Linked DNA regions of Macaca mulatta. The protein of the gene in region 5 interacts with the protein of the main gene of each other region in a pairwise test. Links are inferred from orthologs where the notes say so. Each region holds a gene or a part of one and is shown on either strand. Other genes may lie near its edges.

Region 1 (6,636 bases), on a different chromosome or scaffold from region 5:
ACAGTACTGCATTAAAACCATTCATAGGGCCGGGCACGGTGGCTCACACCTGTATCCCAGCACTTTGGGAGGCCGAGGCAGGTGGATCACAAGGTCAAGAGTTTGAGAACAGCCTGGCCAACACGGTGAAACCCCATCTCTACTAAAAATACCAAAACATTAGTCGTGGCGGGCCCCCATAATCCCAGCTACTCAGGAGGCTGAGGAGGGAGAATTGCTTGAACCCAGGAGGCGGAAGTTGCAGTGAGCCAAGATGGCACCATTGCACTCCAGCCTGGGCAACAAGAGAGAAGCTCCAGCCGGGCACGGTGGCTCATGCCTGTAATCCCAGCACTTTGAGAGGCTGAAGCGGGCGGATCACCTGAGGTCAGGAGTTCAAGACCAGCCTGACCAACATGGAGAAACCCTGTCTCTACTAAAAAAGTACAAAATTAGCTGGGCGTGGTGGTGGGCGTCTGTAATCCCAGCTATTAGGGAGGCCGAGGCAGGAGAATCGCTTGAACCCGGGAGGCAGAGGTTGCGGTGAGCCGAGATCGTGCCATTGCACTCCAGCCTGGGCAACAAGAGCGAAACTCCATCTCAAAAAAAAAAGAGAGAGAGAGAGAAGCTCTGTCTCAAAAACAAATAAATTAATAAAGCCATTCATAGGGCTAGGAGCGGTGGCCCACACCTGTAATCCAAGCACTTTGGGAGGCTGAGGCTGGTGGATCGCTTGAGCCCAGGAGTTTGAGACCAGCCTGGGTAACGTGGCGAGACCCCGTCTCTACAAAAAAACTAAAAACCACCACCACCACCAAGAAAAAACCCCATTAATGCAGCCATGGAAGAAACGAGCACGTTGGGGTTCTGTAAAATTTCCCAAACCCCGCTTACACAGCCCCCAAATGATCAACGTGGTAGCAGAGTTACAGGGCTCTAGAGAGGCCGCCATCCCTCAAGTAGGTGAGGTGATCTGGCTTAACTTTTCTATTCTCTTTTAAGTCCTTTTGACAGATGCTCTGTTTTTGCTGGTTTGTTTTTCAACCCTAACATATAAACATATCTAAGAGATGACTGTACAGATCACAATAGGACCTCCTTCAAGGTTCTTTCAAACCTGGGTTCTTCAGCTGGGTTTGCAGGAAAGTCCATGAAGCCCTTGAGATGATCATGTACGTCATATGTGCATTTTTCTGAGCGGAGAGTCCACAGCTTCCATCATTCTCAAAGGAGTTCAGGACTTGAAGAGTAACGTTCACTAGTTTAATTATCATTTTTTTTTTCTTTTTTATGAGACGGAGTTTCACTCTTGTTGCCCAGGCTGGAGTGCTGCGGCATGATCTCGGCTTACTGCAACCTCTACCTCCTGGGTTCAAGCAATTCTCCTGCCTCAGCCTCCCACATAGCTGGGGTTACAGGCATGCGTCACCACGCCCGGCTGATTTTTTGTATTTAGTAGAGACGGGGTTTCACCATGTTGGTCAGGTGGGTTTCAAACTCCTGACCTCAAGTGATCTACCTACCTCGGCCACCCAAAGTGCTAGGATTACAGGCATGAGCCACCATGCTCAGCCTAATTATCAAATTTTGAACACTGGACTTATACTTCAATTGTTACAGACACAACTTATTCAGACAGGAGGCTGAAGCACTTTCTAAAACAAGGCACACCTTACTTAGCAGGCCTGAGCCCTAAGCCAGGTAGAAGGCCCAGCAGGATAGATACATTCTTGTCTCAGGAAGTTCCACAGAGACAGAAAGAAAAACAGTCCCCAGAGATGTTGCCAAATGGCATGAAAAGCTGGCCAGGCCTGGGAACTGACTCACACACAGAGATGCAACAAGACAATGTGAGGTGTCTCTGATCACATGATAAAAAGGTTCACACGGTTCTGTTTGTCTTCTGCCTCCCCCCAGATATCACAACTTTCTCAGACTGGGGAAAGGTAAGTGGGAAACAACTGGTCTAAGAAAAGAGAAGTGGTCGGGCACGGTGACTCATTCCTGTAATCCCAATACTTTTGGAGGCCAAGGAGGGCGGATCACGAGGTCAGGAGTTCGAGACCAGCCTGGCCAACATGGTGAACTCCTGTTTCTAGTAAAAATACAAAAAATTAGCTGGGTGTAGTGGCAAGTGCCTGTAATCCCAGTTACCGGGGAGGCTGAGGCAGGATAATTGCTTGAACCCAGGAGGCGGTGAACTGAGTGAACTGAGATCGTGAACTGCAGTGAACTGAGATCGTGCCACTGCACTCCAGCCTGGGTGACAGAGCAAGCCTCCATCTCAAAAAAAAAAGAGAAGTACCACTCAGAGAAAAGAAGGAATTACCCATCAGACTCTGAGTAGGTAAGATAGAGGGAAAGTGAGCCTGCTGGGTCACTCTAGGCATTTTCCTCTGACTCATCATAACATTCCCAAGTCACAGGGCAACTGGATGCTGGCCTTAGCTGGGTACAGGGCTCTGACTCCACAATGTCTCCTTTGGGGACTCAGGTGCCTCCTAAGCTCCTTCTGCCTTCAAGAGGCAATTCAGGGTCGGCATAGTTCAACCCAGAGCTGGCTGGTCTGATTTTCAATACCCACGGAACAAAAGGAGAGAGAGGCCATTCAGGGCTTCTCTTGGCAGAGACTGGAGGAGAGACAGGATGCAATGAGCAAGGGGTGGGGAGGGTGGAGTGGAAAGAACCTTGAATTAGGAGACCTGTGCCTTCGGAGGAGACTCAAACCAACAGGCATTCAAGAGAGAGGCAAGGGAATGACTTTACGGATCCACACAGTGCCAGGAACTGTGAGACATCTGACAAACGTCATCTGTTTAATTTCACTCCTGGGACCTCAGTTTCTTACCTGGAACCTGAACAGTTCTGGAACATACTGGAAGCCTGTATGCTGGTGGTTAATCCTATTAACTTTGGAGTCAAGACTCCTTTCCTGGAATTCCATCTCTGTTACTTACAGAGTTGCAATCTCGAGCAAGTTACTTAACCTTTCTGCCCCCCACTTTCCCTACCTGTGAAACGTGGACAGTAGTAGATTGTACTGCACAGAATTTATTAAATAAGGTAGAAAAGGCGCAGAGCCTGACACGTAGTAACGTTGTAGACATCCAATAAGTGACAATTATTTTTGTTTGGGGCTCCTCCCAGTTACTGAAGTCAAAACTCTGGGAACGGGTTCAAGAATCACCCCTAGGCCCCACCGGTCGCCCCATGCCAGGTCCCCAAGCAGACGTCCCACTCCCACCTCCCAGCTGATCACAACCTCCCGGGCCCTCCCCCACGGCCCACCCACCTTCCTCCAACCCCGCCCCCAGCCATTCCCCCCCAACCATACTCCATCAATGCTCCCCCTTCAGGGGCTTATTCCCCACCGCCCATCGCCCACCCCCCACTCCCTCGACACCCGAACTTTGGTCCTCTAGGATCCTTCCGCAGTGTTTTCACCTCTCGGTGTTGTTGACGATCACTCCGCCGCCCTCCGAGTGATTCTTGTTGAGCGCCATAGTCTCTCCGACAGGGGTCCCGAGACTCAAAACGCAGTGAGCTTGCGCCCCTCTTCGCCCCGCCCCTAGTGGCGTCTTCTTATTAGAGTCAGCCAGTCACAGCTCGAGCGCGGAGGCTGGCCCAACCACCTGACCCGAACGTCACGTGGTAATAGTTTACTCCCTCCCCCCAGTTCCACCTGCGTAACAAACAAGATGAAGACTACAATTCCCAGCAGGCAACGCTCCCGCAGCCTCGGCCTCTCCCTGTGCTGGAGGAAGGATGCATTCTGGAACTTGTAGTCTCCTGGCTCATAGGCCGAAATTGGCTCCACAATTTACATAACCAATCGGCTTGTGCCATCTCCACCCCGCCTCTTCAGCCGGACGGAAATAAACAGTTTGGCTGCTGTCAGGGGCGCGAGCCTGGGGACCCCGGCCGAGCGTTAAGGGAAGTCCCGCTGGCCGAATGCGACCTGGACATGGCGTGGGAGGGCCGAGCAGTCCCCTGGTGGATGGGCAGCCTTCGTTCACTCAGCAGACGTGTATGGGGCGCTTGTGTGACTCCGGGGAGTTTAGCTGAGCCCGAGACCCCGGCTCTTGGGGACGCGGTGGGCTGGCGGCGTCGGATCACCCAGCCACCCATCTCACCACCCCAAGCCCTGAGCCCGGGGGGCGGGGAGAGTCCCGCCTGGGGAGGGGAGGCTGTGTGCCCCTCCTGGCTCCCACCACTTTCGCAGGCCGGCCGGGCGCCCCTTGCAGCCTCCTCGCCGGCCTCGCGGTGGCGCCGATCCCTCCGGAGCGCCCAGCGGGGTCCCGGCCGGAAGACTGAAGGCTGAGTGAGACTGGGCACGGCGCGAGACTGGCAGCCTGATAACTAGGACTTACAAAATAAGACTGACTCATGCCAGCTCGTGACCCAGCCCTGGGCGTCCTCCACGGGGCAGCTGTCATTCCCTAACCGCCCCCCACCAAACCCCTGCACCTCCGAGCTGAATCCATGAGGCGGAGAGAGGGGGCTGTACTCCCCCACTTGGTGGTGCAGGGGTTAATCTTAAGGATTAATTCGTTAAGATTAATTAATCTTAAAGATTAACTCGTTAATCTTAAGGAATTAGAGTTTGCTTTTCAGTAGACAGCTGCTTTCCTGACCGTGGTGGTCAACCTCTAGATCCACCTGTTCGACTTCGCTTAGCAGGGAGGTCTCCTATGTGAAGAAATAAAGCTGCCTCACTAGAAAAGATCAGGAAACAGCAGCGTTCTGTGAGGTCCGGTGCAATACCAGGTTGGACCTTGCAGGACAAGTACAGTGGATTAAGGATGGTCGTAATGAAATCTGCCCCAATGGTTAGATGTATTTTGGGGTCTGCAATCTCTGCCGTCTTTAAAAAGAATTAAGTCGGCCGGGCGCGGTGGCTCACGCCTGTAATCCCAGCACTTTGGGAGGCCGAGGCGGGTGGATGGTGAGGTCAGAAGATTGAGACCATCCTGGCTAACACGGTGAAACCCCGTCTCTACTAAAAAATACAAAAAATTAGACGGGCGTGGTGGCGGGCGCCTGTAGTCCCAGCTACTCGGGAGGCTGAGGCAGGAGAATGGCGTGAACCCAGGAGGTGGAGCTTGCAGTGATCCGGGATTGCGCCACTGCACTCCAGCCTAGGCAACAGAGTGAGACTCCGTCTCAAAAAAAAAAAAAAAAAAAAAAAGTCAGACTATGTGCTGATATGGAAAGATTGTCAAGGGTTATTAAGCACAGAATGCTGTATACATATAGTTCTATTTGTATTAAAAAATAGGATCTAGATAGAAATTTTTTGCAAAGATCCACCAGAAAATGTCTGTGACAGTTTTGAGGCGTGGGTCTGGGAATTTGGGGTGGATTGGTGGCTCAGTATGTCGGTATGCATTGTACTTTTTGGTACTGTTTAGTTTTTTTTTTTTTTTCTATGTGCATTTAAAATATAAATTAAAAAAACAAAAGTAGGTCAGAGTTTGTGGCACATGCCTGTCATTCCAGCACTTTGGGAGGCCAAGGCGGGTGGATCACCTGAGGTCAGGAGTTTGAGACCAGCCTGGGCAACATGGTGAAACCCCATCTCTACTAAAAATACAAAAAATTAGCTGGGTGTGATGGTGGTCACCTGTAATCCCAGCTACTCAGGAGGCTGAGGCAGGAGAATCACTTGAACCCCGGAGACGGAGGTTGCAGTGAGCTGAGATCAAGCCACTGCACTCCAGCCTGGGCAACAAGAACAAAACTCTATCTCAGAAACAAACAAAAAACCCCACGATTATTCATTCACAATACTGTGGCCACAATGAGGCCTCCTGACAGGAGGGGAAATGACAAGAAGAGGAAGTTGCAGTGGAGAGATAACGAGCTTGACCAGCTTCGGCTACAATGTCCAGAAGTTCTAAGTTTTATAAAAACATATGACCATGTGAACACACTTCTTGGACAGCTCCCATGACTTTGGGGCTGGAAGGTACCAGAACTCAAAACTCAAACCGAAGGATTTAACAATCGTTTATTGCGGAACCAGGTGAGCAGCTGCAGGCCCCCCAGGCCTAGGTCTCAGTACTCAGACCTCTCCTCTGGTCTTTTACCCCTGTCTGCCTGTCTCCAGCTCTCTTTTTCACTGCAGTGTGATTGCTCGTATTCTCCACACCAGAGCACATCTTAGTGATGTGCTAAGAAAGGGTGCAGGTCTACCCCAGATACCAGCAGGCAGGGTCTGGGGCAGCTGAGCCGCTGAACTGGTCACCTGTTTTTCTGTTTATAATTTTATTTATTTATTTTATTTACTTATTTATTTTGAGACGGAGTCTCGCTCTGTTGCCCAAGCTAGAGAGCAGTGGTGTGATCTCCACTCACTGCAAGTTCCGCTTTCCGGGTTCACGCCATTCTCTTGCCTCAGCCTCCCGAGTAGCTGGGACTACAGGTGCCTCCCACCATGCCCGGCTAATTTTTTGTATTTTTAGTAGAGACGGGGTTTCACTGTAGCCAGGATGGTCTTGATCTCCTGACCTCGTGATTCACCCGCCCCGGCCTCCCAAAGTGCTGGAGTGGTGGCGTGAGCCACCGTTCCTGGCCTATTTATTTATTTTTGATACAGGGTCTTGCCCGTCTCCTGGGGTGGAGTACAGTGACACGGTCTCTGCTCACTGCAGCCTC
Region 2 (6,594 bases), on a different chromosome or scaffold from region 5:
TTTATAAATGAAAAAGAAGACCAAACCCAGAAAAATATGCCTATCAGGAAATACACAAGTTCAAAAAAAGACTGCATTTTAAGCCAGTCAGAGCTGTCTCAAAAACTTTAAAAAGAGATACATTCTGAATAAGATAAAACGTATAGAAGAATCTGGCCACTTGAAGGTAATCTAGGAGAAGGAATACATACCAGCATCAGTTTGTAATCCTAGTGAATGTAGTGTCTTTTGAAGGTGGATATCACTCAGGAATTTTATTCAATGCGTTTTTAAAGTATATTTAAATTATATAGTGGTTACCAAAGCGGGGCAAAGAGGAATGGGAAGTGACTGATAATGGGTATGGAATTTCTTTTGGGGGTAATGAAAATGTTCTGGAATTAGATAGGGGTGATAATTGTACAACTTTGTGAATATACTAAAACCACTGAATTGTAAACTTCAAAAGGGTTAATTTTATGATATGAAAATATATTTCATGTTATTAATTGTTGATATTATATGATTGATTGATTTTTTATATGGTTAATTCATCTTGCTAGCTGAAGGTGTGCCAATTGCCCTGGCTTTCAATAATATATCCTTTTCTGTAAAACAAGAGATTAATTATATTAGCTAATATTTGCTGAGCACTCACTGTGGAAGAGGCTTTACATACATCATTTCATTTAATCTCAGAACAACCTATGAGATAGGTATTATTACCACATATTTAAGGAAACTGAAGCTTAGATTGTTTAAAGTATCTTGCCAGAGTCACAATTATTAAGTAGTGAGTCCCAGATTTGAACTCTTTATTTGACCCCAAAGCCTATTAACCATTGAGTCAGCAGGAAGCCCATCAATATGTTTTGTGGAATTGAATTTATTAAATGGATCAAATTTGTGAGGCAAAATATCTGCAATAACTTCCTATTGCGCTAGAGGGAGACATAGAATTGGAAACCAAAGGAGATTCTAAAATTTCTGGACCTGGAAATCTTTTAGGAAGCACATCTACTGCCAGCCCCTTTTAGGGGAAGTCTAACCTTAAGGCGGAGAGAGAGAAACTCGAGTCAGGAATTGATATTCATCCTTATAAAGCCGCAGCTGGCAGGAATCACTTTATAAGAAAGCACATCAGCAGGGCGCAATGGCCCAGGCCTGTAATCTTAGCACTGTGGGAGGCCGAGGCAGGAGGATCACCTGAGGTCAGGAGTTCAAGACAAGCCTGGGTAACATGGTGAGACCCTATCGCTACTAAAAAAAAAAAAAAAAAAAAAAAATTAGCCAGGAGTGGTGGTGTACCCCTGTAGTCCCAGCTATTCGGGAGGCTGAGGCATGAGAATCACTTGAACCCTGGAGGCGGAGGTTGCAGTGAGTTGAGATGGTGCCACTGCACTCTAGCCTGGGCAACAGAGTGAGACTCTGTCTTTAAAAAAAAAAACAAAGAAAGAACATCTCTTCCTCCTTTGGTTCACTGTGTATATTCTCAAAGAGCAGAGAAAAGGCAAAGATTAGAGCTATGAAGTCTTTGGAAGCTTGCATAAGAAATCCTTAATTTCTACCAGAGACATTTTTTTCCTGAGAAGTTTTGTGTTGTAAACTTTTGAAATCATGGTTAAGATATCTAAGGAGAGTTCATTTGCTTTTCAACCTTTATTCCTTCAAAGTAATTTTTAAACTTTGATGGGCAGATTTTATGAATAATTAACTTTGAGAGCAAAAAAATACAATTCCTCCACAGAGACAAACGATATGGCACAGCCAGCCCAAACCTAAGAGCAAGACACACTCCTGCTTCACAAGTCATGCCATTTTCACATCAGAAGGAAAGATTCTGAACTTTCCGACTTCTCGGAGCTTCTCAGAGTTGAAAGAAATTTTAAGCCATTTAATTCACTCCTTTCCAACCTCTGCCTGAACGTCTGAAGTAATGGGAAGCTCACTATCACACAAACAGGTTTTTTTTACTATTATGGAAAAGTGTCTATTTTCACTGACTTGGCCTTAAAGTAATAAGAATATAGTAGGTATAGGCAATAGTGTTTATTTTTCCCCTAGAAATTATAAACAAAATGCTTATCGCCCTGTTTGCTTCAATAGCTGAGGACAGAGATGAGTAACAGCAAACCTAAAGGTCCTATGATAGAGGAAATTAGAAACTGATCTTAATGATTAATATAATGAAATTAAACTTTATAAGAAGTGGAAACTGGTGGAAATGGATAATAACTCAGGATTCAAGGGCCCCTGTGTCAACATCTCTTGTCGATGAATTTTAGTGAGTTTTTCAAGCTTTCATGTAGTAAATAAGCATTTTCTTTTGTCTGTCTAACAATCAGGAAAACACTAAGTTGAGAAGAATATAACTTCCTTTGTTTTAGCTCTGAAGAGGTCTTAAAGGAAGGAATTCAATTAAAAATGTTTACTATCTGAGTATCGACTCTGCCTTAAATACAAAATAATCAAATGTGAAGGTATTGTAAGAAATCCAAGTTATACATAATAATTTTTAAATCTAAAACAAAATGATTACATTGATAATGAAGGCAAATTTTGTATAGTATGTGATTTAATTTTTCTCAAAATGTTTTGATGGATTTCATTAGTTTCCTACCAGCTTCTCTAGTCTAAATTATCAGTTATTCCAAGGCCTGGAGAGAGTATAGTAGCTACCAGCTGTCACAAGTTAAATACTTCTCTTCATTAATTTCCTTTTGTGCTCCCAAATCCATATCCTCTTCTATGATCCTGTTTTCCACACTATTCCTAGAAGCCCTGCTAAGTAAAAAAAGGATCACTCACCTCCATGAAGCTTCAGCCTACCAAGGGGCAGAGGCAGGCACTTGAATCAGAGCTCAGCAGGCCCAGGATGTCTGCAGACCAGAAGTCAGGGACCTGTTAGTTTTCAAGGAATGGGCTCAGAGCATGACAAAAGGAAGAAAAGTTCAGGAGCTGGAGAGAAGCAGCAAGGCCAGAGTGAGGTCTGGCAGATTCCGTGACAGTTTGTCAGTTGCTTTGATCATCATTTGCTTAAGAGAAAGAGAAACCCTCATTACAATACCCTACCTGCCCAACTTTTCTTTTGTAGGAGAAGAGGGCAGCTCATTTAGATTCAAACTGGTAGTCTAATCTTAAGGTTCATAGCTCCCCATTTCTGGACTAGGGATGCTCTATGAAAGAGGAAATACACGTCAGCAGCAGCCTATATTAAGCCTAACTCATGAAAATAACCACCTCACCCCTGTTCGTGATCCCATCACACCATCAAGACACTCGCTGAGTGGCTTTAATAGAGAGCTAGTTCACCTCTCATATTCCAGTGAAGCAGCCCTGACTTTGTCTCTGAGACAGTAACACAGGCCTGGAAAACACCAGGCCCTAAGAAAGCAGGATGAGCTTTCTTTCATACAGCTTTCTTCAGCAGTTTTCGCCCACAGAGAGATGTCCCAGCACTATGCTCCTGCGTGACTTATAAAGAGCCACCATAGAGCCAAACAGTTTTTCTTACAGTAATTCCTCTAACTCAATATGATTTCTTACACGTCTGGCTCCTGCCTAGCAGTCCAGCCTTAATGACCACAGCTCTTTCCCGGATGTTTGGGATTGCCACTCTTCTGCAGCTTTGTACATGTTATCCCTTCGGCTGGGAGTTTCCCTTCCCCTACACCCCCGTCTTTATCTCTTTACTAAACTCTTCCCTAACCACTCCCTCATCCCCAAACCAAGCTTTACCCACTTCCCTGTCTCTTCTAGAAGATATTTTGCTGGCTCTATACCAGAGGTTAGCAACCTCAGCCCTATTGATATTTTGGGCCTGTTAAGTCTTTTAAGTCAGAGGGGCTGTCCTGTGAATTTTAGGATATTTAGCCGTATCCCTGGCGTTTACACACTAGTTGCCTGTAGCCACCCCCTTCCTCTCCAGTCATAACAAAAATGTCTCCAGACATTGCCAAATGTCTCCTGGGGTCAGGGTTGGAATCATTCCTCAGTTGAGAAACACAGCTTTCCTTCCTTCCTTCCTTCTTTCCTTCCTTCCTTCCTTCCTTTTTCTCTTTCTTCCTTTCTTTTTTTCTTTCTCTTTCTCTCCCATTCTCTTTTTTCTTTCTCTCTTCCTTTCTTTCTTCCTTTTTTCTTTCTTTTTCTCTTTCCTTTCTTTGTTTTTTCTTTTTTCTTTCTCTCTTCCTATCTTTCTTCCTTTCTTTCTCTCTGTCTCCTCTTTCTCTCTCTCTCTTTCTCTCTCTTTCTCCCCTTCTTTCTTTCTGACAGGGTCTCACTATGTTGCCCAGGCTTATCTCAAATTCCTGAGCTCAAACTGTCTTCCCACCTCAGCCTCCCAAAGTGCTAGGATTACAGGTGTGAGCAACACCATGCCTGGCCTAGCTTTACACATTTCTATAGCACTCTAGATCTTTGTACATGTGGCTTTAACAGAGTGTATTCTAATATTTGATTGCATGTCTGCCCCTCCACTAAGTTGTGAACAACCGCAGGGTAGGTAGTACTCTGTCTTGCTCACCTTGACAGTACATGGCATTTGTTGGATCAAAACCTTTGTCAAATAAATGTCTATGAAATGCTGGTGATCACTTAATCAAAAAAGTAATTTTGTTTCATCTTGATTATTTTTGCTGTTGGCTAAAACATTTGACAATGCTTAGTATAGCTGATTTTACTAAAGCTTGGCGCCTGCACATTCTTGAACCTTTTGCCTAGGGGTAAGAGTACTGGCCTAGAAGGTGGAAACCTTGTCCCTCACCAGAGCACTGGGTAGCCTTAGCTAAGACATTTAACTCCTATGGGTATCAGTTCCTCCTTCTTTAAAATGTGAATTCCTAAGACCTCTTCCATCTCTAGAAGCCTGTGATTCCAAATCCTATGTAGCAAGAGGTCTCAATCTTCACAAATAGTACTTCAAGTCCTTTTTTTCACTATTTAAAAACAGTGTCCAGGCATGATGGCTCACGCCTGTAATCTCAGCACTTTGGGAGGCCAAGGTGGGAGGATCACCTGAGCCCAGGAGTTCAAGACCAGTCTGGGCAAGATGGCAAGACCCTGTCCCTACAAAAAATTTAAAAATTAGCCAGTGTCTGTGGTCCCAGCTACTCAGGAGGCTGAAGTGGGAGGATCATTTGTGCCTAGGAGGTCAAGGCTGCAGTAAGCCATGATCACACCCCTGCACTCCAGCATGGTTAACAGAGTAAGACCTTGTCTCAAAAAATAAAAAAAATAAAAAAATTCTATTACTGTAAACGAGACCCAGAGTGATGGTTAATTTTATATGTCAACCCGACTAATATACCCACTATAAAAGTTGCTTAAGCAAGAATGACATTTATTTCTCTCTTAAGTAAAAGTTCAAACTTCTATCGTGGCTCTGGTTTGCAAAGTTGTCAGTCTCCCAAATTCCTTCTCTTTACTTTGTTAACTTAGAACTCACAACATCCAGAAATTTGGAGAGGAGACTTTATTTCTTATAAAGGGTTAAAGGCCTGCAAGGTGGCCATCCCACAGGCCAGGAAGTACAATCTCTGGCAAAGACTAGAGACGGGCACTTCAAAGGAGGAGGGGTTGGGGTAGGAACTTGATGCTGAACAGGTTGGCTAAACGTACATATTCAACAGGTTACAGGAGGAGTCATGAATAATCATGAAGGTCATCCTGACTCATGCTTATTGAACAAACATGCATGTAACATACAACCCATGTTCACTTTGAGGTACAGACTTAACTCTTTTTTTGTTTTGTTTTTCATGACAGTCTTGCTCTGCACCCAAGCTGGAGTGCAGTGGTGCCATCTCAGCTCACTGCAACCTCTGCCTCCCAGGTTCAAATGATTCTCCTTCCTCAGCCTCCCGAGTAGCTGGGATTACAGGCGTGCACCACCACACTTGGCTAATTTTTGTATTTTTAGTAGAGACGGGGTTTTGCCATGTTGGTCAGGCTGGTCTCGAACTCCTGACCTCAAGTGATTCACCCACCTCAGCCTCCCAAAGTGCTGGGATTACAGGCATGAGCCACCGTGCCAGGCCTAAGGTGGAGACTTAACATTTAAATGCATGACAATTAGGCCCTATAAGTCAAAATGCCTGTTCAGGACAGGAAGGAACAAGAGTGCTTAGCCTCTGTAAACTGGCCAGAGCCAGCCCATAGTCAGTGGTCTTCTTATCAAGAGAAAGTGGCTGGGCACGGTGGCTAACCCCTGTAATCCCAGCACTTTGGGAGGCCAAGGCAGGTGGATCACAAGGTCAGGAGATCGAGACCATCCTGGCTAACACAGTGAAACCCCATCTCTATTAAAAATTAGCCAGGTTGGGCCGGGCGCGGTGGCTCACGCCTATAATCCCAGCACTTTGGGAGGCCGAGACGGGTGGATCATGAGGTCAGGAGATCGAGACCATCCTGGCTAACACGGTGAAACCCCGTCTCTACTAAAAAAATGCAAAAAAAAAAAAAAAATTAGCCAGGCATGGTGGCGGGCACTTGTAGTCCCAGCTACTCGGGAGGCTGAGCCAGGAGAATGGTGTGAACCCGGGAGGCGGAGCTTGCAGTGAGCCGAGATTGGGCCAATGCACTCCAGCCTGGGCAACAGAGCGAGACTTCATCTCAAAA
Region 3 (6,405 bases), on a different chromosome or scaffold from region 5:
GAGCAACATTGTCAGGTAGATAAAGCTGTGCTACCTCTTCATATTTGGTCCACTGCTCTTTAGGCAAGATCTGATGCTTCAGGTTCAGGTCCAGTGCCCTCTTAATTCGAAACACCCTGCCATTATAAAGGTTCTCAGGAAGCCTTCTTATGGCTTCTTTTACGTCTTCATCCTCGTACATTGTATCATCTCGCAATAACCCTATGACAGACGACAAAGTTAGATAGCACATGCATCTCAAAGATCACGTTTTTTTAAAATTAGTAAAATATCTTTATGACTTATAACTTACAACTTTTGGTGAACTATCGAATTCAAATCACTAGGTTCAATGGAAATTCAATGCACTTCATACATTAGGTTGGTGCAAAAGTAATTGCGGTTTTGCCATTAAAAGTAATGAGTTATTACTTGACATAATGGGTTATTTCTTGAACTAGACTATGGAAACAATATATGAGCCTCTTAAAATCCAATGCCACAAAATTCATATTTTATCTAAACCATTTACAAAATATTTTAAATGTTTACTTTGTTTTTAAACACACATTAATAAACCACATCTCTACTTTCTCATAGTTTAAATCTGAGATCAAGGTATTAATGAATCTTAAAATAATAGTATACTAAGGAACCAGTGACTTTTGCTTACACTTTCTTCAAGCTTCAATAGCAAAAGATGAAGTTCATGGCAAATTACAAAGTTCTAAAAAAGCTTAGGAAACATATGATCGCATGGATATGATAAAATTTTAATATTTGAAAAATCTCTACTTTCAGTGTTTATAAAACTTAAAATTTTAAGTGGAATGCTGGGCGCACTGGCGCATACCTGTAATCCCAGCACTTTGGAAGGCAGAGGCAGGTGGATCACCTGAGGTCAGGAGCTCGCCACCAGCCTAACATGGTGAAACCCTGTCTCTACTACATACAAAAAAAATTAGCCAGGCATGGTGGCACACGCCTGTAATCCCACCTACTCAGGAGGCTGAGGCAGGAGAATCACTTGAGCCCGGGAGGCGGAGGTTGCAGTGAACTGAGATTGCGCCACTGCACTCCAGCCTGGTGACAGAGCAAGACTCTGTCCCAAATAAATAAATAAAATTTTAAGTGGTAGAGTTGGGAGAAGGGGTGTAGAAGGAAAATGTCTTACTACTTAAATCATTACCAAGTCAAACATTTTAGAGGCTTTCATCCCTCTCCTCTCAAAAAAATTTTAAAAAGGAACTGGATTTAACATAATGTGATTTAATTTTAACATCTTCTGATGTATACAAGAACTGAAATATTTTTTGGAACCACAGTAACACTTGTAAAAGCAATACTCTCAGAAAAAAAAGAAAAATTAAAAAGCACAGATGCTTACCCAGTTTATTGAATCCTGCAGCATTGTAATACCATTTTCGAATACCATCCAGCCACTTGCCTGATGCTGAAACTGATCATTGTCACACTGTTAGTTGCTACAATTATACTATATGAACACACTGATGGGCAAGCAACCAGTACTCAGTTATCTTGCTGATGAATGCAAACATAGAAAGAAATTTCCTTTTAAAAGTATATACTATATACAGCAAGAATTTAATCAAAAAAGAATTAGATTTAAAAGAAAAAAGTTTATAAACTGTTGATAAAAATTGCTTATTTTATTTATGAGCAAAAGTGGCTGCAGGAAAATGGTGGCAAGTCATGGAAGAAGAGGGTAAACTCAAACATTGAATGTACAAAAGATCCATAGGTACATCGTGTGCCCTTATGCCTGCCCTGTTACCTTCAGAAATGAAGGGGTGAGAGATAGGAAAAGGACTTGGAAATTTCTATCATTTGTAGTTTCATAAATAGATCACAGGAAATAATTGTAAACTTTTCATTTCAAAGGAGCTGGAGTTGTATGAAAAGAGAGTGAGATTTCAGCATAGGCTGGCAGGTCTAAATGACCCTCATCCTGTAAAAATTTTACTCGACATTACAGTTATTTCATTTGGCTACATTCTTTAAAAATATATGTATTTTGGGGAGGATTTTGATACCATTAGTCATTTAAACATTAATATGGATTAGTAAAAGAAGTCCATTTACCTCCTCCTAAGCAACTAAGTTCCCCCCAAGGGAATAGGTATTGAAAACGGATGAGAAATGGGTAATTTTAAAATTCTTGCCGGGCGCGGTGGCTCAAGCCTGTAATCCCAGCACTTTGGGAGGCCGAGACGGGCGGATCACGAGTTCAGGAGATCGAGACCATCCTGGCTAACACAGTGAAACCCTGTCTCTACTAAAATACAAAAAAAATTAGCCGGGCGAGGTGGCGGGCGCCTGTAGTCCCAGCTACTCGGGAGGCTGAGGCAGGAGAATGGCGTGAACCCGGGAGGCGGGGCTTGCAGTGAGCTGAGATCCGGCCACTGCACTCCAGCCTGGGGGACAGAGCCAGACTCCGTCTCAAAAACAAACAAACAAACAAAAAAAAAAAATAAATAAATAAAATTCTTTGGGGAACAGGGCTGAGTCTGATGAAGTAACCCAGCAGGGTCCAAGTACAGCAGGACCGTACCTGACATTTTAGGAGAGACGTTTTACAAAAGGGGAGGTAGAACAAGTTTACATTTTCTTTTAAAATTTTGTCTAGCGTTAGCCCCTTACCAAGGAAGGAAAGCAAACTCTCCTTTCACTCAGCCCTCCTTGCCTGCAAACTCAGTGCACTACAGATTACGTGGCTTCAGCACATCTCCTTGGAAATGAAGTCATGTATAAAACTGCTGCCAGAAAAACAAGTATCAGTCAACAATCTACAAACATACTTGTGGAAGACAGATTATTTTTAACCACCTATCAGTGACTAGAATAATATTCACTAAACACTTATTGTGCACCAAACACTTTCCTATTTGCTTTACCAACATTAGCTGATTTATTTACATGCCTCTTACTACAGCAAGGGAAGCAGACTTACAGAAGTGATCCCACCCAAGGTCAGTTAGCTAATGGGAGTTGAGATCTGGTCTATGTAGATCCCAAACACGCACAGAATCAGTGTCTTGAATTTAGTAAGACTCCTTCAATATCTGCTAAATTAATAAAATAATTATTTAAAAAGTCTCCCCCACCCCCAAAAAGCTCAATGTCAATTAGGTTAGCGGATGTTTCTGGCAACCTGATGTTTCCTAACAGCTTCACAATTGCTGGGGTCAGGGAGAAAAGGATCAATATTTTTTAAAAGCTACTCCAACTTGGTTGCATTGCAGTGAGACGAGATTGTGCCACTGCACTCCAGCCTGGGCGACAAAGCAAGACTCCTTCTCAAAAGAAAAAAAAAAAAAAAAAAAAAAAAGATACTCCAACTTGTACCGCCAGAGGGCAGAGATTAGCAAAAAAAAAAACAAAACAAAAAAACAAGGAAACCCAACTTAATGTTCAAGTTGTTTTAAATATTCCAGTAATATCTGCATTCTATTCCACAATAAATTTGTTTGAACCTACAATAAATTCAAATTTCTCCAAACCTACTGATCAAGCTGACGTTCTAGATAATCCAAGGTTAATGTGAAGCGTCGCTCGTATCCCTTGCTAGACTGTCTCTGATTCACAGTTTGAGAAGCGCGAGGGGTGCAATGAAATTTCCAATTCTACTTCCTTGGGTCACTTTGCCTCAGTTGTCTTATCAGCGTAAACGGGAAATTAATATCTCCCTCGTGGCACTGGCAGGAGAATTTATAGGGCCAATGCACACGATAGAGCACCTGGGTCATAGAAGAAAGCACTGAGCTCATTCTGGTTGAAAGTCATCCACTAGTTATCTTCTTGTGACCTTTAACTTTTCTAAGGCCGAGGGGAAGGACTTCCGAGCACAGGCAGCTGGAACTCCAGGGCTGTTAGAGCCACCGCGGGCACCTTCACAAACAGCGGGTTAACACCCCAACCCTATATAGGCAAGCCCGGCCTGGGAACAACAAACGAGTGGGGAAGCACGTCCTTTTGGCTGGACTGAAGCCGCCACTTTCCCTTCCGCGACAAACTTGGTGACTTACAAAGAAGAGAGAAAACGGAGTGAGCTGCAGCGAAAATAAACGGTGGAGCGCGACGATGCCCGCCAAGAAGACTCCCCAGTCACTTACCCGCCTGCTTGCCAGCCATTTTGACCAGAAAATGAAACGTTGCCTTCTGGGTAAGTCATAGAGGACACGCTGGGCCCAGTCCGCAGGCGCGTTACGCCACATCGCGAACCGAGAAACGCCGCTTGCGCAGGCGCAGTTCTGACGGCTGTCGTTGAGCTCTTGCGTGTGCACTTCTCGGCCAGGGTGAGGCCAATGGAGTAGGCGGGGCGTTTTGCGTGCTACATTCCAAGAAGTATTGGTTGTGATGTGATGGGAAGAACACAGGTCAGGAATTAGGAGACCGAGGCTTAAAGCTGGGTTCTGTTACTTGCTGTTAATAGCTATGAGAGCGTGGGCAGTATGAATTCAGCTCTTTGTGCCAGGCAGGAAGCTAAATGTTTTAAGGGCATCGTTTTATTTTCTATTGAAGGACTGATGGATGCGCCATCCCAAAAATATATGGAATTGGTACACTGATTATTTGGAGTTGAAAATGTTGGAGAAATTGTAGTTTCAGAAAGGGTTTGATGACCCATCTCTTCCTGCATGCAGCAAGCCGTAAAGTTTCCTCCAGGATTCCTCCGGAGTACCCGTCCCTTACCAGAGGGAGAAAATAGCACCCATCACCAGAGACTGGAAACTGGGAGCTGCTTTGGACCTGAATATACTTTCCGAAATAACCCTTATCTTCCACTAAGTTTACACCCCACCACACCCACGTTTCTCCTAATGACTCCGCAAGAAATTCACTGCCCCTAGCCAGATCCCCTTTCTTCTGATTTGTAGTTCGTGTAAAAAGTATAAAGGCATCTTACATTGGCCACTTCACTCTCTTGTGAGGATCCCCATGCACATGTAAAACATGTAAAACTAGTAAAATTAGTATGCTTTTCTCTTGTTAATCTGCCTTGTGTCAATTTGGTTCCTAGATCCAACCAAAGAGCCCACATAAGAGCAAAGGCGTGATCTCTCACTCCCCTACACTGTCATTTAATTCTAAAAGTACTGTCATTATCTCATTGTAGATAGGAGAAAGCTGAAGCTCAGAAAGGTTGAATAACTTGTCCAAGAGGACATGACTAGAAGAGTCCAGGTTCTTCTTCCAGAATCTGAAAATCCAGACGCAAACTTAGGGCTCCTTAATTCTAGGGCCATATGCTACACTACTAATCCAGGAAAGACACCAAGCCTTTCAGGCCTTGGGTTTCTCCAGCTGAAGATCTACATCTAGCTATTTTAGTGGAAGGTTAGGTCAGAAAGGTTTTGGGTTTTTCGTTTGGTTGGTTGGTTGGTTTTTTTTTTTTTTTTTTTTTTTGGTCACCTCTTTTTTTGTTGTTCAGCCTCTATCACCCAGGCTGAATGGCACAATCTTGGCTCACTGCAACTTCTGCCTCCAGGGTTCAAACGATTCGTGCCTCAGCCTCCTGAGTAGCTGAGACTACAGGTGTACATGCCACCATGCTCGCTAATTTTTGTATTTTTAGTAGAGACAGGGTTTCACCGTGTTGGCCAGGCTGGTATCAAACTCTTGACCTCAAGTGATGCACCCACGTCGGCCTCCCAAAATACTGGATTACAGGTGTGAGCCATCACGCCCAGAAGAAAAGGTTTTTAAAGATTAAATCTAAGATGTATTGCAGAATTTGCACATAATTTAAAGACAAAAGTATATAGATTTGCTAACTATTAAGGTCTCAGCCCCAACATGTGAAGTCTTAGGCATAAACATCTAGAGACAGAAAACAATTGGGGGGAACTGGCATGACTGATAGTTACTGGTGAACTTCTACCATTACTCGGTGATATCTTTTTTCCCCTCAGTTTTAAGCTCAGAGCTGGGACAATATAGAATAGAACCTTGTCTCGTCGTAAGTTCAAAAGGTTAGATTTAATGATCTTAGTCACATTCCAGTTCTAAGATTCTATTGATTTTCCTTTTTCTTTTATCTCCATGCTGCTACAATTCTTCTATTAGTCAGTCCTGTATGCAGCACTAAAGCTGATGAATGATCTCTTCTATCTTACACTAGCCAAAGTGAAGTCTGAAAGATGTGAAGAAATGCAATACATATGTACATTGGCACATTGCCCTGCAGAGGGTAGGTACTCAATAAACTCTCCTCCCTTCTACCCTTTACGTTTTACTTGCTGGTTACAGGTGAAGGTGACAAGAAAAGACATATCAAAAAATCAGAAACCCAAAATTGTCACAAAATCCAGCTCCTAAGGAATTAAGCTAGAGACTGAATGTTTGCTGGTAGTCATTAATGTTGATTCAAAAACTAATTTTGGTTTTCTTTCCTCCCAGCACAGG
Region 4 (5,918 bases), on a different chromosome or scaffold from region 5:
GACAGAGCAAGACTCTGTCTCAAAAAAATAAAATAAAATAACCCTGGAGAGGCCACAAAAGAATTCTCTCAGCATGGAAGTGGGTAAAGCATTTCTAAGAATAGCCCCAAACCCAAAAGCCATGAAATAAGACTGACACATTTAATTATACAGAGATCAAAAAATCCTACGCAGCAAAGCGACCATAAGCAGAGCCAGCATATGAGCAACTAGAGGGAAATATGTGCAACTCATATCATAGGCAAAAGCCTGAATTGCCTAATATATAAAGAGTGCCTACAAATCACTAAGAAAAAGACAAACTATCTAATAATGTACAAAGGATGCATTTTCATATGAAACATGGCCAACCCAACCTAAAATAAGGAAAGTGTAAATTAAATCTATCCTGGGATGTTATTTTCACTTGTCAATAGGGGTAAAGATCAAAGTTTGGTGATTTACAGTACGGTGAGAGGATGGGGACACGGGTGCTTTCGCACACACTGCTGGAGTAGGTGTGAGTCTGGAGAGTCTCCATGGAACTGTTACTATTTTTTTTTTTAGACGAAGTTTTGCTCTTGTCGCCCAGTGCCCAGGCTGGAGCTCAATGGCACGATCTCGGCTCACGGCAACCTCTGCCTCCGGGGTTCAAGTGATTATCCTGCCGCAGCCTCCCGAGTAGCTGGGATACAGGCGCCTGTCACCATGCCTGGCTAATTTTTGTATGTTTAGTAGATACGGGGTTTCACTATGTTGACCAGGCTGGTCTTGAACTTCTGACCTCAGGTGATCCACCCGCCTCGGCCTCCCAAAGTGCTGGGATTACAGGCGTGAGCCACCGCGCCTGGCCACTGTTATTACTTTTTGAGGCCGGGCGCGGTGGCTCAAGCCTGTAATCCCAGCACTTTGGGAGGCCGAGGCGGGCGGATCACAAGGTCAGGAGATCGAGACCACAGTGAAACCCCGTCTCTACTAAAAAATACAAAAAAAAATTAGCCGGGCGCGGTGGCGGGCGCCTGTAGTCCCAGCTACTCAGGAGGCTGAGGCAGGAGAATGGCGGGAACCCGGGAGGCGGAGCTTGCAGTGAGCTGAGATCGCGCCACTGCACTCCAGCCTGGGCAACAGCGTGAGACTCCGTCTCAAAAAAAAAAAAAAAAAAAAAAAAAAAACTTTTTGAGAAAGGGTCTCACATATCACCCAGGCTGGTGTGCAGTGGCCTGATCACGGCTCACTGCAGCCTCCACCTCCCAGGCTCAAGCAATCCTCCTACCTTGGCCTTCTGAGTAGCAAGGACTACAGGTACACAGCAGCATGCCCAACTAATTTGTTTCTGTTTTTGTTTTTGGTAGAGACAGGGTTTTGCCATGTTGCCCAGGCTAAAGCCGAGGTTTCTGAGAACCTATTGATGGTGTTAAGTGAGGACTTGCTGTATTAGGGGAAAAAAGATGCTGTGGAAGTTATTTTTGTTCTTTTGTTTGTTTGTTTTTTGTTTTTTGAGACCGAGTTTCGCTCTTGTTGCCCAGGCTGGAGTGCAATGGCACGATCTCAGCTCACCACAACCTCCGCCTCCCAGATTCAAGCAATTCTTTTGCCTCAGCCTCCCGAGTAGCTGGGATTGCAGGCATATGCCACCACACCCGGCTAATTTTGTCGGAAGTTCTTTCTGTACTGAAGCAAATAATACATAACCTTTTATGAAAAACAAAACCAGGCCAGGCACGGTGGATCACACCTGTTATCCCAGCACTTTGGGAGGCTGAGGCGGGTGGGTCACTTGAGGCAAAAGTTCGAGACCAGCATGGTCAACATGGTAAAACCCCATCTCTACTAAAAATACAAAAATTAGCTGGGCGTGGTGGCAGGCACCTGTAATCCCAGCTACTTGGGAGGCTGAGGCACGAGAATCGTTTGAATCCAGGAGGCAGAGGTTGTAGTGAGCCGAGAATGCACCACTGCACTCCAGCCTGGGTGACAGAGTGAGACTCCATCTCAAAAAGAAAGACAAACCTAGCTGGGAGAGAGGAGATACGGATGCATACACAATGGTGTGCCTGGATTCGGGGTATCAGAAGAGGGACTTCACTACCAGCAGTGGGCTCTGGGGACTCTGGGAGGGACCTGTACCACCTGGGCTTCCGATGGGGGGTGGCGCAGGCACAGGAAGCTACAGGTTGGGGCAGGAGCACACGGGGCGCCACTCACCGAAAGAATGGCTTCCTTGATGCGGGCGTCCCGCTGGTCCTTCCTCAGGGTGGCCCCAGTGAGCGGACAGGTGAAGTACACACCAGGCACGGCCAGGTGGGCAGAGCCTTCCTCTCTGGGCTCAGATACCTGGGGCGGTGAAAGTGTCCGAGTCTGGACTGTGGACAGAAGCCACCCCGAGCCTCGCCGAGCACCACAGTCCTGAGTGTGGCCCGCAGAACCAGACATCTCTAGCCCCCATGCTGTCCCTTCCACTTGGTGGCCATGGGAGACACCCTGGCCAAGTGACTGGATCCCTCAGCCTGTTCCCTGGTATGTCAAATGTCCCTGTGGGGCCTATTCAGAACTAAACAAGGTAAGGAAAGGAAAGCACGGAGCAGCTTCTGACACGCAGGAAGCACTCAGCAGACGGCAGCTGGGCTCCTGCTGGTCCTGTCCCCAAGCTGGTGAGGAAGGAGCTCTGTGTGGGAGTCCGTGGGCACAGTGCCCTGGACAAGGCCTGACTTTTGGGCCTCCGTTTCTAGGCCATCTCTAAGGTCCCTGCGTGCTAAAATTCACTGAATCCTCGAGGATCAAGCTGCTTAGAACTCCTTTCAGCAGAGCTCTCAAGGCCCACCTCCTACAGGAAGGCCTCCCTGATTCCACCCGTCTCCACGGAGCCCCTTGACCTCCAAGCCAGGCAGGAGCAGGCAGTGGTAGGGGACAGGCTCTGAAGCCACAGACTAGCCAGTCCTGTCTTTGCTGGTTCTGGGGGAATAGGAGAGAGGACAGCTGGTTTGACCTCTCTCAACCCCGGTTCTCTTTCTGAAAAGTGAGAACTGTAACTGCATCCACCTTAACGGGTTAAGGGGAAGGAGCGATGGGCTTATGTACCTGAGGCCCACTTCTCCAGGCCTGAGCCAGCATCCTCAGCTGCCGAGCCCCGAAGGTCCGGACAACACCATGTTCCACCACAACCCGCCTCCACCTTGCAGGGCAAGGTTTCCTAACCACCCTGGAGCCCCAAGGGCAGTGGCCACATCTCCCCCATGAAGAAGTCAAGCTGTCCCCACCCCTCAGCGTGGGACAGTGCCACCAGTGGCTGTTCTTACCACGTTGGTCCCTGGGGCCTCGGGGCTCCCGCTGACGGTGGCTTCGGCTTGAAGTTCCTTTCTCACTGGAAGGCAGCCCAAGAAGGAGAAGCAGAGCCAGGGTGGTGAGCACGCCTCTGTCCTGGCCCGAGCCCCCTCATTCCTGGGGTGGGCCCGTGAGCCATGCACAACACCCCAGCCTGCTGCTGCTGGAGGTCAGGCTGGAGGTCCCCTGCAGGACTCGCTCTGCACCCACCCCTCAGCCTGAGCCAGCACCCCACTGCCTGCGCAGTCCCTGTTTCTGCTCCAAGTCTCTGCTCCCACCCGCTCCCCAGGAAGCTGCCCTTCCCCCAGCACCTGCCCTTGGTGAGTCGCTCCCAAGGGTGACCCTCACACCCCCACAGCTGCTTCCAGGCCCTGGACTTCTGCGTCCAGGGCCAGGCACTAAGGCTGGGAACCTCAAACAGCCCCGACCTGGGCCCGGGGCGGGCCACATCTCACCCTGGTTTCGGATGCTGTCCTGCGACGTGGGGCCCCAGGCCCGGGACTGCTTCTGCTCCAGCCGGGCCAGGGCGGCAGCGGCCGCCATCTGTGCCTCATTGGTGGGTCCCTGGCGGGGCGGCCTCGGGGCCGGCTGGCTGGACTTCTGTTTGGGGGCCTTTTCCCTGGGGACAGACCGAGGGAGAGCGAGTGTATCCTCCTGAGGTGGCCGGCAAACCTGACGTGCGGTCACACAGGGGAGCTTCTGCTGCTCCCCAGCTCCTGCCACCAGCACCACCAGTCAGACGTGTCCCTGCCTATGCGGGCCAGGACGCCTGCTTCCCAGGGGCCACCCGCAGCCACCAGATGGTTCTTCTGCAAGCGGAAGAGCCCCTGGAGGAAGGAGATGCTGGTTCCGCTCAGTTCTGCACCACAGGGCAAGTCCTGCCCCACTGGGCCTCAGCATCCTCGTTTGTAAAATGGGGTGGCAGCACCCCTCCCGAGGCGAAGGCACCTTGATATCCTCAGGGCCTTTTTTTTTTTCTTTTTGAGACAGGGTCTTGCTCTGTCACCCATGCTGGAGTACAATGGCACGATCACGGCTCACTGCAACCCTGAGTTCCCAGGCTCAAGGAATCCTCCCGCCTCAGCCTCCCGAGTAGCTGGGACTTGGAGGCAAGCATCATCACGCATGGCTAATTTTTCTTTTTTTTTTTTTTGAGACGGAGTCTCGCTCTGTCGCCCAGGCTGGAGTGCAGTGGCCGCATCTCAGCTCACTGCAAGCTCCGCCTCCCGGGTCTACGCCATTCTCCTGCCTCAGCCTCCCGAGTAGCTGGGACTACAGGCGCCCACCACCTCACCCGGCTAGTTTTTTGTATTTTTTAGTAGAGACGGGGTTTCACCGTATTTAGCCAGGCTGGTCTCGATCTCCTGACCTTGTGATACGCCCGTCTCGGCCTCCCAAAGTGCTGGGATTACAGGCTTGAGCCACCGCGCCCGGCCACGCATGACTAATTTTTCTATCGAGACAGGGTCTCGCTGTGTAGCTCAGGCTGGTCTCGAACTCTTGGCCTCAAATGATCCTCCCACCAGGGCCTCCCAAACTGCTGGGACTACAGGCATGAGCCACAGCACCCAGCCCACATCCTCAGGAATTGAGGAGACTCAAGGGATGCCACATCCTCCCCCACTCCCTGCTGTGAGAGTCTCCACCCTCAGGTCACAGCTTCGTTTGCTGAGCACCTACTGTGTGCTGGGCCCCTGCTGGGAGCCGGTCGGCTTGGTTGGTTGACTCCTCCTAACAAGCTGCCAGGGAGGCCTCACCATCCCGTTCCCAAACCCAAGAGGGTCAGGAAGTCCGGGCAATGTGCCCCATGCCACACCACCCTTGTGGCAGGACCCTGGGGTCAGCGGACAGCAGAACCAGCCTCGCCCTGGCCACTCCATGCCAGGCCCGGGGCTGTGCAAGTACCAAGAGCTCATGGACTCGCGGTTCCGCCCTGTTGAGCCCTACACCAAGGAGGGTTCCATAATCCACTTGGCACAGTGGCCTGGCAGAGAAGCCCTTTCTGCCAACCTGCTCGGACGCGTCTGTCTCGCCTGTGTCCTCTCGGGCCCCTCCCGTGAATCCAGGGACTGTGTCACTTTCCATGTCGTAAGTCTCTTAAAACTTCCTGGAGGCCAGGCTCTCAGTTCAAGCCCTGTACTCCTCTGGCTCTGCTTAGATACTCGGGCAGCCCTCCCTCCTCGTCTCGAGGCTTAGCTTCGTGCCCACCCCTGCCTATCTAGTCCTCCCACAGCGCAGCATCTTGGGTGGAAGAGGAGATGACTCATGAAGACCCATCCCAGCCCCATCCGATATCTAGGTCTTTCCAACAAAATGGCATTTCCCAGGGCACCTCACCCCAACCGGTCATGGACCCTGCCCGCCCTGGGCAGCCACAGGGACCCTTCTGCAACCTCAGCCAGGGAGCGTCAGCATCACTCCACTGCACGACGCCCCCCCACCACGAAATCCTAAAGCCTCCCTCGGCCGGAGAGCCCTTCCCGGCCTGGCCCACTGCCCTCCCCTGGCCTGGCTCCCCTGGGCTCCCCGCGGTTCTTCCCATACCCCAGCTGCTCCCCGCCGCAAGGCCCTGCACTGTCTGCGCCTTCTGCCCACAGTGTTCTCCTGCGGGGAGGGAG
Region 5 (5,537 bases):
CCTGGACCACCCAGGAGGCCGACTTCTCAGGCTGGGCTGCTCCCCACCACCGCCCCTGTTGCAACCCGTTTGTTTAAGCCACAGGAGACTCTGGAGTCAGAGGTTGGTGTGATCAGGGCAGGGCTGGTTAGGAGAGGGCATGGCCCAGGATCTGCCAGGAATCAAAGTCAGAAACCTGAGAGGGAACTGAGGTCCCCCAAGATCCCACTCTAACCCCCATTCCCACAAATCCGCTACCACTTCGCTGCCCCATTTCCCATTCCTTGCCCTCCAACCTCACCAGGCAGAATCCAGTTCCCCTTCTGCTATCAATCCAGGGAAACCCCAGACTTGGTGCTGGGACGTTTTGGGGGTCAGAGAGAATCGAGGGCATGGTCCTGAGGGGATAATTGAGATTGACTGAGGAGAGCAGGCCCAAGCTCTGTGACGAGGCAAGGTGAGACTCTGATGAAGGAATGAGGAGGCCCCCACTCCAGATAGAGGACCCCAAACAATCGAGCTCAGCCCCTCCTGCCAGCCCTGGACCACCCGGGGGAAGACTCAGGCTAGGCCGTCCCAGCTCCCACTGCCACTAAAGCCACAGGGGACTCGAGTCACAGCTTGGTGTGCCCAAGGCAGGGCCCAGGCTCTGCCTGGCATCAGAATCAGGACCCTGAGAGGGAATTGAGGGACCTACATTCCCACCCCTTCCACATTCCAGCATCCCCCCACCATCCAGATCCTCAACCCCATCCCCAATTCCGTTTTGCAGAATCCATTTTTTCCCCTGCAGTCAACCGACGGAAGACCTGGGAATGATCAGGCACTCGGATCTTGATATCCACATCCAGGGCTGAAGGAGGGAAGGGACTTGGTATCATGAGCAGAGCCTCAGGGTAGCAGAGGGAGGACCCTGGCTCTCCTGGGAGACGAGGAAGGACTCAGGAGACCCAGCATCCCAAGGCAGGGAGCCCACCCCACCCCGTCTGAGAATGAGGTGCCTCCTCTTTTAGCCTCGGGAATCCAAGGGATGGTGACTCAGGTCAGCAGAGGGGTGGGTTCCAGCCCTTCCAGGATCAAGGAAAGGAAGACGAGGGAGGACTCAGGGGTCCTTGCATTCCAGATCAGTGGAGACCTGGGCCCTGGGAGGTCCTGAGCAAGGTAGCCACATGTAGCTCATGCTTCCTGCACCTTCAAGGTCACAGAGAGGAGAGGGCTATGGTCTGAGGATACCTGTGGCTCAGAAAGACGGGACCCCGCAGAGTCTGGCTGTCCCCTGTTCTTAGCTCGGGGGGACCAGAGCAGGGATGGCCTTATGTGCCAATCTTACTTGTACCATAGGCAGGAAGTTGGAGAACCTTCAGGAAGATGAGGTCTTGGAGTAAAGGGGCAATATCTGCTCATCTCAGGGGGTTGGGGGTTGAGGAAGGGCAGGCCCCGTTGGGAGCAAACATGAGTGACCCACAGGAGGCCATCAGAACCCTCACCCCAGGACCAAAGGGGTCAGCTGTGGACTCCCCGCACAGGGGTGACAGGATGTGGCTCCTCATTTCTGATTGCAGATCTCAGTGAGGTTAGGACCTTGTTCTCAGAGGGTTACTCAGGTCAACACAGACCTCTATCTGGTCAACAGACACAGTGGTCCCAGGATCTGCCAAGAGTCCTGGTGAGGAATGTGAGGGAAGATTGAGGGTACCACAGGGCCAGAACGCAGACGATGACTCCACAGAAATCAGCCTTGCTCCGGTTGTCACCCCAGAGAGCATGGGCTTGGCTGTCTGCTGAGGTCCCTCTCTTGTCCTGGGATCACTGATGTCACGGAGGGGGAGGCCTTGGTCTGAGGGGCTGCACCCAGGTCAGTAGAGGGAAGGTCCCAGGCTCTGCCAGGAGTTGAGGTGAGGACCAAGCAGGCTCCTCACCCAGGACACATGGGTTCCAATGAATTTTGACATCTCTTGCTGTCATTCTTCAGAGGACCTAGGCACATGTGGCCAGATGTGGGGCCCCTCATGTCCTGTTTCCTCTCAGGCATGTGAGTGCTTGATCTGAATTTCTCAGGCCAGCAAAACGGTGGAATCCAGGCCCTGCCTGGAGAAATGTGAGGGCCCTGAGTGACCACAGAGTGGACCATCCACTCTATGAGAGTGGGGACCTCACAGAGTCCAGCCTGCCCTCTTGATAGCACTGAGGGACTGGGGCTGTGCTTATAGTCGGCACCCTAAGGGCCCATGGATTCATCTCCTAGGAGCTCCAGGAACAAGGCAATGAGGCCTTGGTCTGAGACTTGTGTCCTCAAGTCACAGAGCAGAGGGTGCACAGGCTGTGCCAGCAGTGAATGTTTGCCCTGAATGCACACCAAGGGCCCCACTTGGCATAGGACACGTGGAACTTCAGAGAGTCTGACCTCACCTCCTGTTAGTCCTGCAGAATCGACCTCTGCTGGCCGGCTATACCCTGAGGTGCTCTCTCACTTCCTCCTTTAGGTTCTCAGGGGATAGGCCAACCCGGAGGACAGGATTCCTTGGAGATCACAGAGGAGCACCAAGGAGAAGATCTGTAAGTAAGCCTTTGTTAGAGCCTCCAAGATTCGGTTCTCAGCTGAGGCCTCTCACATGCTCCCTCTCTCCCCAGGCCTGTGGGTCCCCACTGCCCAGCTTTTGCCTACACTCCCACCTGCTGCCCTGACCAGAGTCATCATGTCTCTTGAGCAGAAGAGTCAGCACTGCAAGCCTGAGGAAGGCGTTGAGGCCCAAGAAGAGGCCCTGGGCCTAGTGGGTGCGCAGGCTCCTGCTACTGAGGAGAAGGAGGCTGCTGCCTCCTCCTCCTCTCCTCTGGTCCCTGGCACCCTGGAGGAAGTGCCTGCTGCTGGGTCAACAGGTCCTCCCCAGAGTCCTCAGGGAGCCTCCGCCTTACCCTCTACCGTCAACTTCACTTGCTGGAGGCAACCCAATGAGGGTTCCAGCAGCCAAGAAGAGGAGGGGCCAAGCACCTCTCCTGACCCAGAGTCCTTGTTCCGAGAAGCACTCAGTAAGAAGGTGGATGAGTTGGTTCATTTTCTGCTCCTCAAGTATCGAGCCAAGGAGCTGGTCACAAAGGCAGAAATGCTGGAGAGAGTCATCAAAAATTACAAGCACTGCTTTCCTGTGATCTTCGGCAAAGCCTCTGAGTCCCTGAAGATGATCTTTGGCATTGATGTGAAGGAAGTGGACCCCACCAGCAACACCTACACCCTTGTCACCTGCCTGGGCCTCTCCTACGATGGCCTGCTGGGTGGTAATCATATCTTTCCCAAGACAGGCCTCTTGATAATCGTCCTGGGCACTATCGCAATGGAGGGCGACTCTGCATCTGAGGAGGAAATCTGGGAGGAGCTGAGTGTGATGGATGTGTATGATGGGAGGGAGCACAGTGTCTATGGGGAGCCCAGGAAACTGCTCACCCAAGAGTGGGTGCAGGAGAACTACCTGGAGTACCGGAAGGTACCCGGCAGTGATCCTGCACGCTACGAGTTCCTGTGGGGTCCAAGGGCCCTGGCTGAAACCAGCTATGTGAAGGTCCTGGAGCATGTGGTCAGGGTCAATGCAAGAGTTCGCATTTCCTACCCATCCCTTCGTGAAGCAGCTTTGAGAGAGGAGGAAGAGGGAGTCTGAGCATGAGTTGCAGCCAGGGCCTGGGGCGGGGGTGGGGGGGTGGCGGCTGGGCTGGGCCAGTCATCTGCCCTGTGCAGCAGCTTCCCCTGCCTTGTGTAGCATGAGGCCCATTCTTCACTGTTTGAAGAGAGTAGTCAGCATTCTTAGTAGTGAGTTTCTGTTTTATTGGGTGACTTGGAGATTTATCTCTGTTTCCTTTTAGAATTGTTCAAATGTTCCTTTTAATGGATGGTTGAATGAACTTCAGCATCCAAGTTTATGAGTCGTAGTCACATATATTGCTGTTTATATAGTTTAGGTGTAAGAGTCTTGTTTTTTATTCAGATTGGGAAATCCATTCTATTTTGTAAATTGGGACATAATAACAGCAGTGGAGTAAGTATTTATTTAGAAATGTGAATTCACCGTAAGATATGTGAGATAAAGAAATTAAAAAATACTTAATTCCTGCCTTATACATACTCAGTCTACTCTGTAAAATTTAAAAAATATATACGCATACTTGGATTTCCTTGGCTTCTTCGTGAATGTAAGAAAAATTAAATCTGAATAAATAATTATCTGTGTTCACTGGCTCATTTCTTCTCTATGCACTGAGCATCTGCTCTGTGGAAGACCCAGGATTAGTAGTGGAGATACTAGGGTAAGCCAGACACACACCTACCCATAGGGTATTAGAATCTAGGAGCTGCAGTCATATAATTAAGGTGGCAAGATGTCCTCTAAGATGTAGAGGAAAAGTAAGAGGAGTGTGGGTATGGGGCTCCAGGTGAGAGTGGTCGAGTGTAAATTCCCTGTGTGGGGCCTTTTGGGCTTTGGGAAACTGCATTTTCTTCTGAGGGATCTGATTGTAATGAAGCCTGGTGGGTCAAGGGCCAGATCCTCAGAGGGAGAGGGAAAAGCCCAGATTGGAAAAGTGCTCTGAGCAGTTCCTTTTTGACAGTGGATGAACAGAGAAGCCTCTACCTGGGGCGGGAATGGAAGGTGTCTTGTGAACACAGTGCATGAGCTAGGTGATGGGCACCCATTATTTGCAAGGGTTTCCTGTGAGATAAACTTGTGTCTCCCCAAAAGGGAGACCCAGAAGCCACTGGCCAGGTGCTTTTCTACCTGGCTGGGAGAACCAGAACTGACTATTAAAAAGGCATTCTAACTAGGTTATCTTAAGTGCAATGTGACCAATTGTAAGCAGGGGCTAGATTTTGGGTGGTAACAATGAAAATAGTGGTATGGATGGAAAAGCAGCTGGGAGCGAGGGAAGCAGTTGGTCTTTGACTCAAATTCTAGGAGCTTTGAGCTGCATCTGGCTGGGGAAATCTCCCACACACCCAAATTTTGAGGCACATTCTCTAAGTGATAATTCTTACTGAATTTTATGGATGAAACTTCCTTATTTGGCTAATGATTCCATGCCCTATTGAGTTGGATATTCTCTGATCAGTCTTGAAGAACAATGACAACAAAATCCCAGAATGCTAGGGTCTGGGGTCAAACAATATCAGAAATACCAGCTATCTGCCATTCCTTAAACTTCTAATTTAATTCCAGGCCCTGAGCCAGGTGCTTCACCTACATTGCACACACTCCAATAGTCCTACTAGACAGGGCTTATCACATCTGCTTAAAAGAGAAGAATTCAAGGCTCACAGGGCTTGTGAATTGGGACATAATAACAGAGTATTTCCTGGATATCCCCAGGATCATGTGGCTAGTAAGGAACAGGGCTGGAACCAGACCCCTGCTCTGAATTTCTTTAGAGCCCATGCTGTCCCCATTCCCCCCAGCCTGAGGTTGACCTCCCAACTGGTACTTCATTTCTCTTCTCAGCACTGCACCATGTCTCTCAGGTGACAAAAATAAGGACCTTGAGGCCAACATTACTAAAAGCAGGCTTGGCAATGAGAATCA

Evidence for each region.
Region 1: the proteins of MAGEA4 (region 5) and WBP2 interact in a two-hybrid assay, tested with the Homo sapiens proteins (2 studies listed by BioGRID). The two-hybrid records come from large-scale screens. The link is inferred for Macaca mulatta from reciprocal best matches to the Homo sapiens genes MAGEA4 and WBP2.
Region 2: the proteins of MAGEA4 (region 5) and TRIM69 interact in binary tests that used the Homo sapiens proteins (3 or more experiments, as listed by UniProt). The two-hybrid records come from large-scale screens. The link is inferred for Macaca mulatta from reciprocal best matches to the Homo sapiens genes MAGEA4 and TRIM69.
Region 3: the proteins of MAGEA4 (region 5) and UQCRB interact in binary tests that used the Homo sapiens proteins (3 or more experiments, as listed by UniProt). The two-hybrid records come from large-scale screens. The link is inferred for Macaca mulatta from reciprocal best matches to the Homo sapiens genes MAGEA4 and UQCRB.
Region 4: the proteins of MAGEA4 (region 5) and UBXN6 interact in binary tests that used the Homo sapiens proteins (3 or more experiments, as listed by UniProt). The two-hybrid records come from large-scale screens. The link is inferred for Macaca mulatta from reciprocal best matches to the Homo sapiens genes MAGEA4 and UBXN6.

The regions. Positions count from the first base shown.
Region 1 is NC_133421.1:85,564,984-85,571,619, forward strand, and holds the start of WBP2 (WW domain-binding protein 2), read right to left. Parts: upstream 3,532-6,636; 5' UTR 3,483-3,531; coding exon 3,424-3,482; intron 3,207-3,423; exon of another isoform or gene 2,854-3,206; coding exon of another isoform or gene 2,828-2,853; intron 1-2,827. UniProt on the Homo sapiens protein: Acts as a transcriptional coactivator of estrogen and progesterone receptors (ESR1 and PGR) upon hormone activation. In presence of estrogen, binds to ESR1-responsive promoters. Synergizes with YAP1 to enhance PGR activity.
Region 2 is NC_133412.1:22,144,887-22,151,480, reverse strand, and holds the start of TRIM69 (E3 ubiquitin-protein ligase TRIM69), read right to left. Parts: upstream 4,036-6,594; 5' UTR 2,794-4,035; coding exon 2,788-2,793; intron 1-2,787.
Region 3 is NC_133413.1:106,634,561-106,640,965, forward strand, and holds the start of UQCRB (cytochrome b-c1 complex subunit 7), read right to left. Parts: upstream 4,139-6,405; 5' UTR 4,132-4,138; coding exon 4,113-4,131; intron 1,439-4,112; coding exon 1,367-1,438; intron 202-1,366; coding exon 35-201; intron 1-34. UniProt on the Homo sapiens protein: Component of the ubiquinol-cytochrome c oxidoreductase, a multisubunit transmembrane complex that is part of the mitochondrial electron transport chain which drives oxidative phosphorylation.
Region 4 is NC_133424.1:5,283,931-5,289,848, forward strand, and holds part of UBXN6 (UBX domain-containing protein 6), read right to left. Parts: intron 3,920-5,918; coding exon 3,756-3,919; intron 3,341-3,755; coding exon 3,276-3,340; intron 2,314-3,275; coding exon 2,185-2,313; coding exon of another isoform or gene 2,110-2,184; intron 1-2,109. UniProt on the Homo sapiens protein: May negatively regulate the ATPase activity of VCP, an ATP-driven segregase that associates with different cofactors to control a wide variety of cellular processes.
Region 5 is NC_133426.1:158,171,604-158,177,140, forward strand, and holds the end of MAGEA4 (melanoma-associated antigen 4), read left to right. Parts: intron 1-2,462; 5' UTR 2,463-2,535; intron 2,536-2,610; 5' UTR 2,611-2,675; coding exon 2,676-3,629; 3' UTR 3,630-3,780; downstream 3,781-5,537. UniProt on the Homo sapiens protein: Regulates cell proliferation through the inhibition of cell cycle arrest at the G1 phase. Also negatively regulates p53-mediated apoptosis.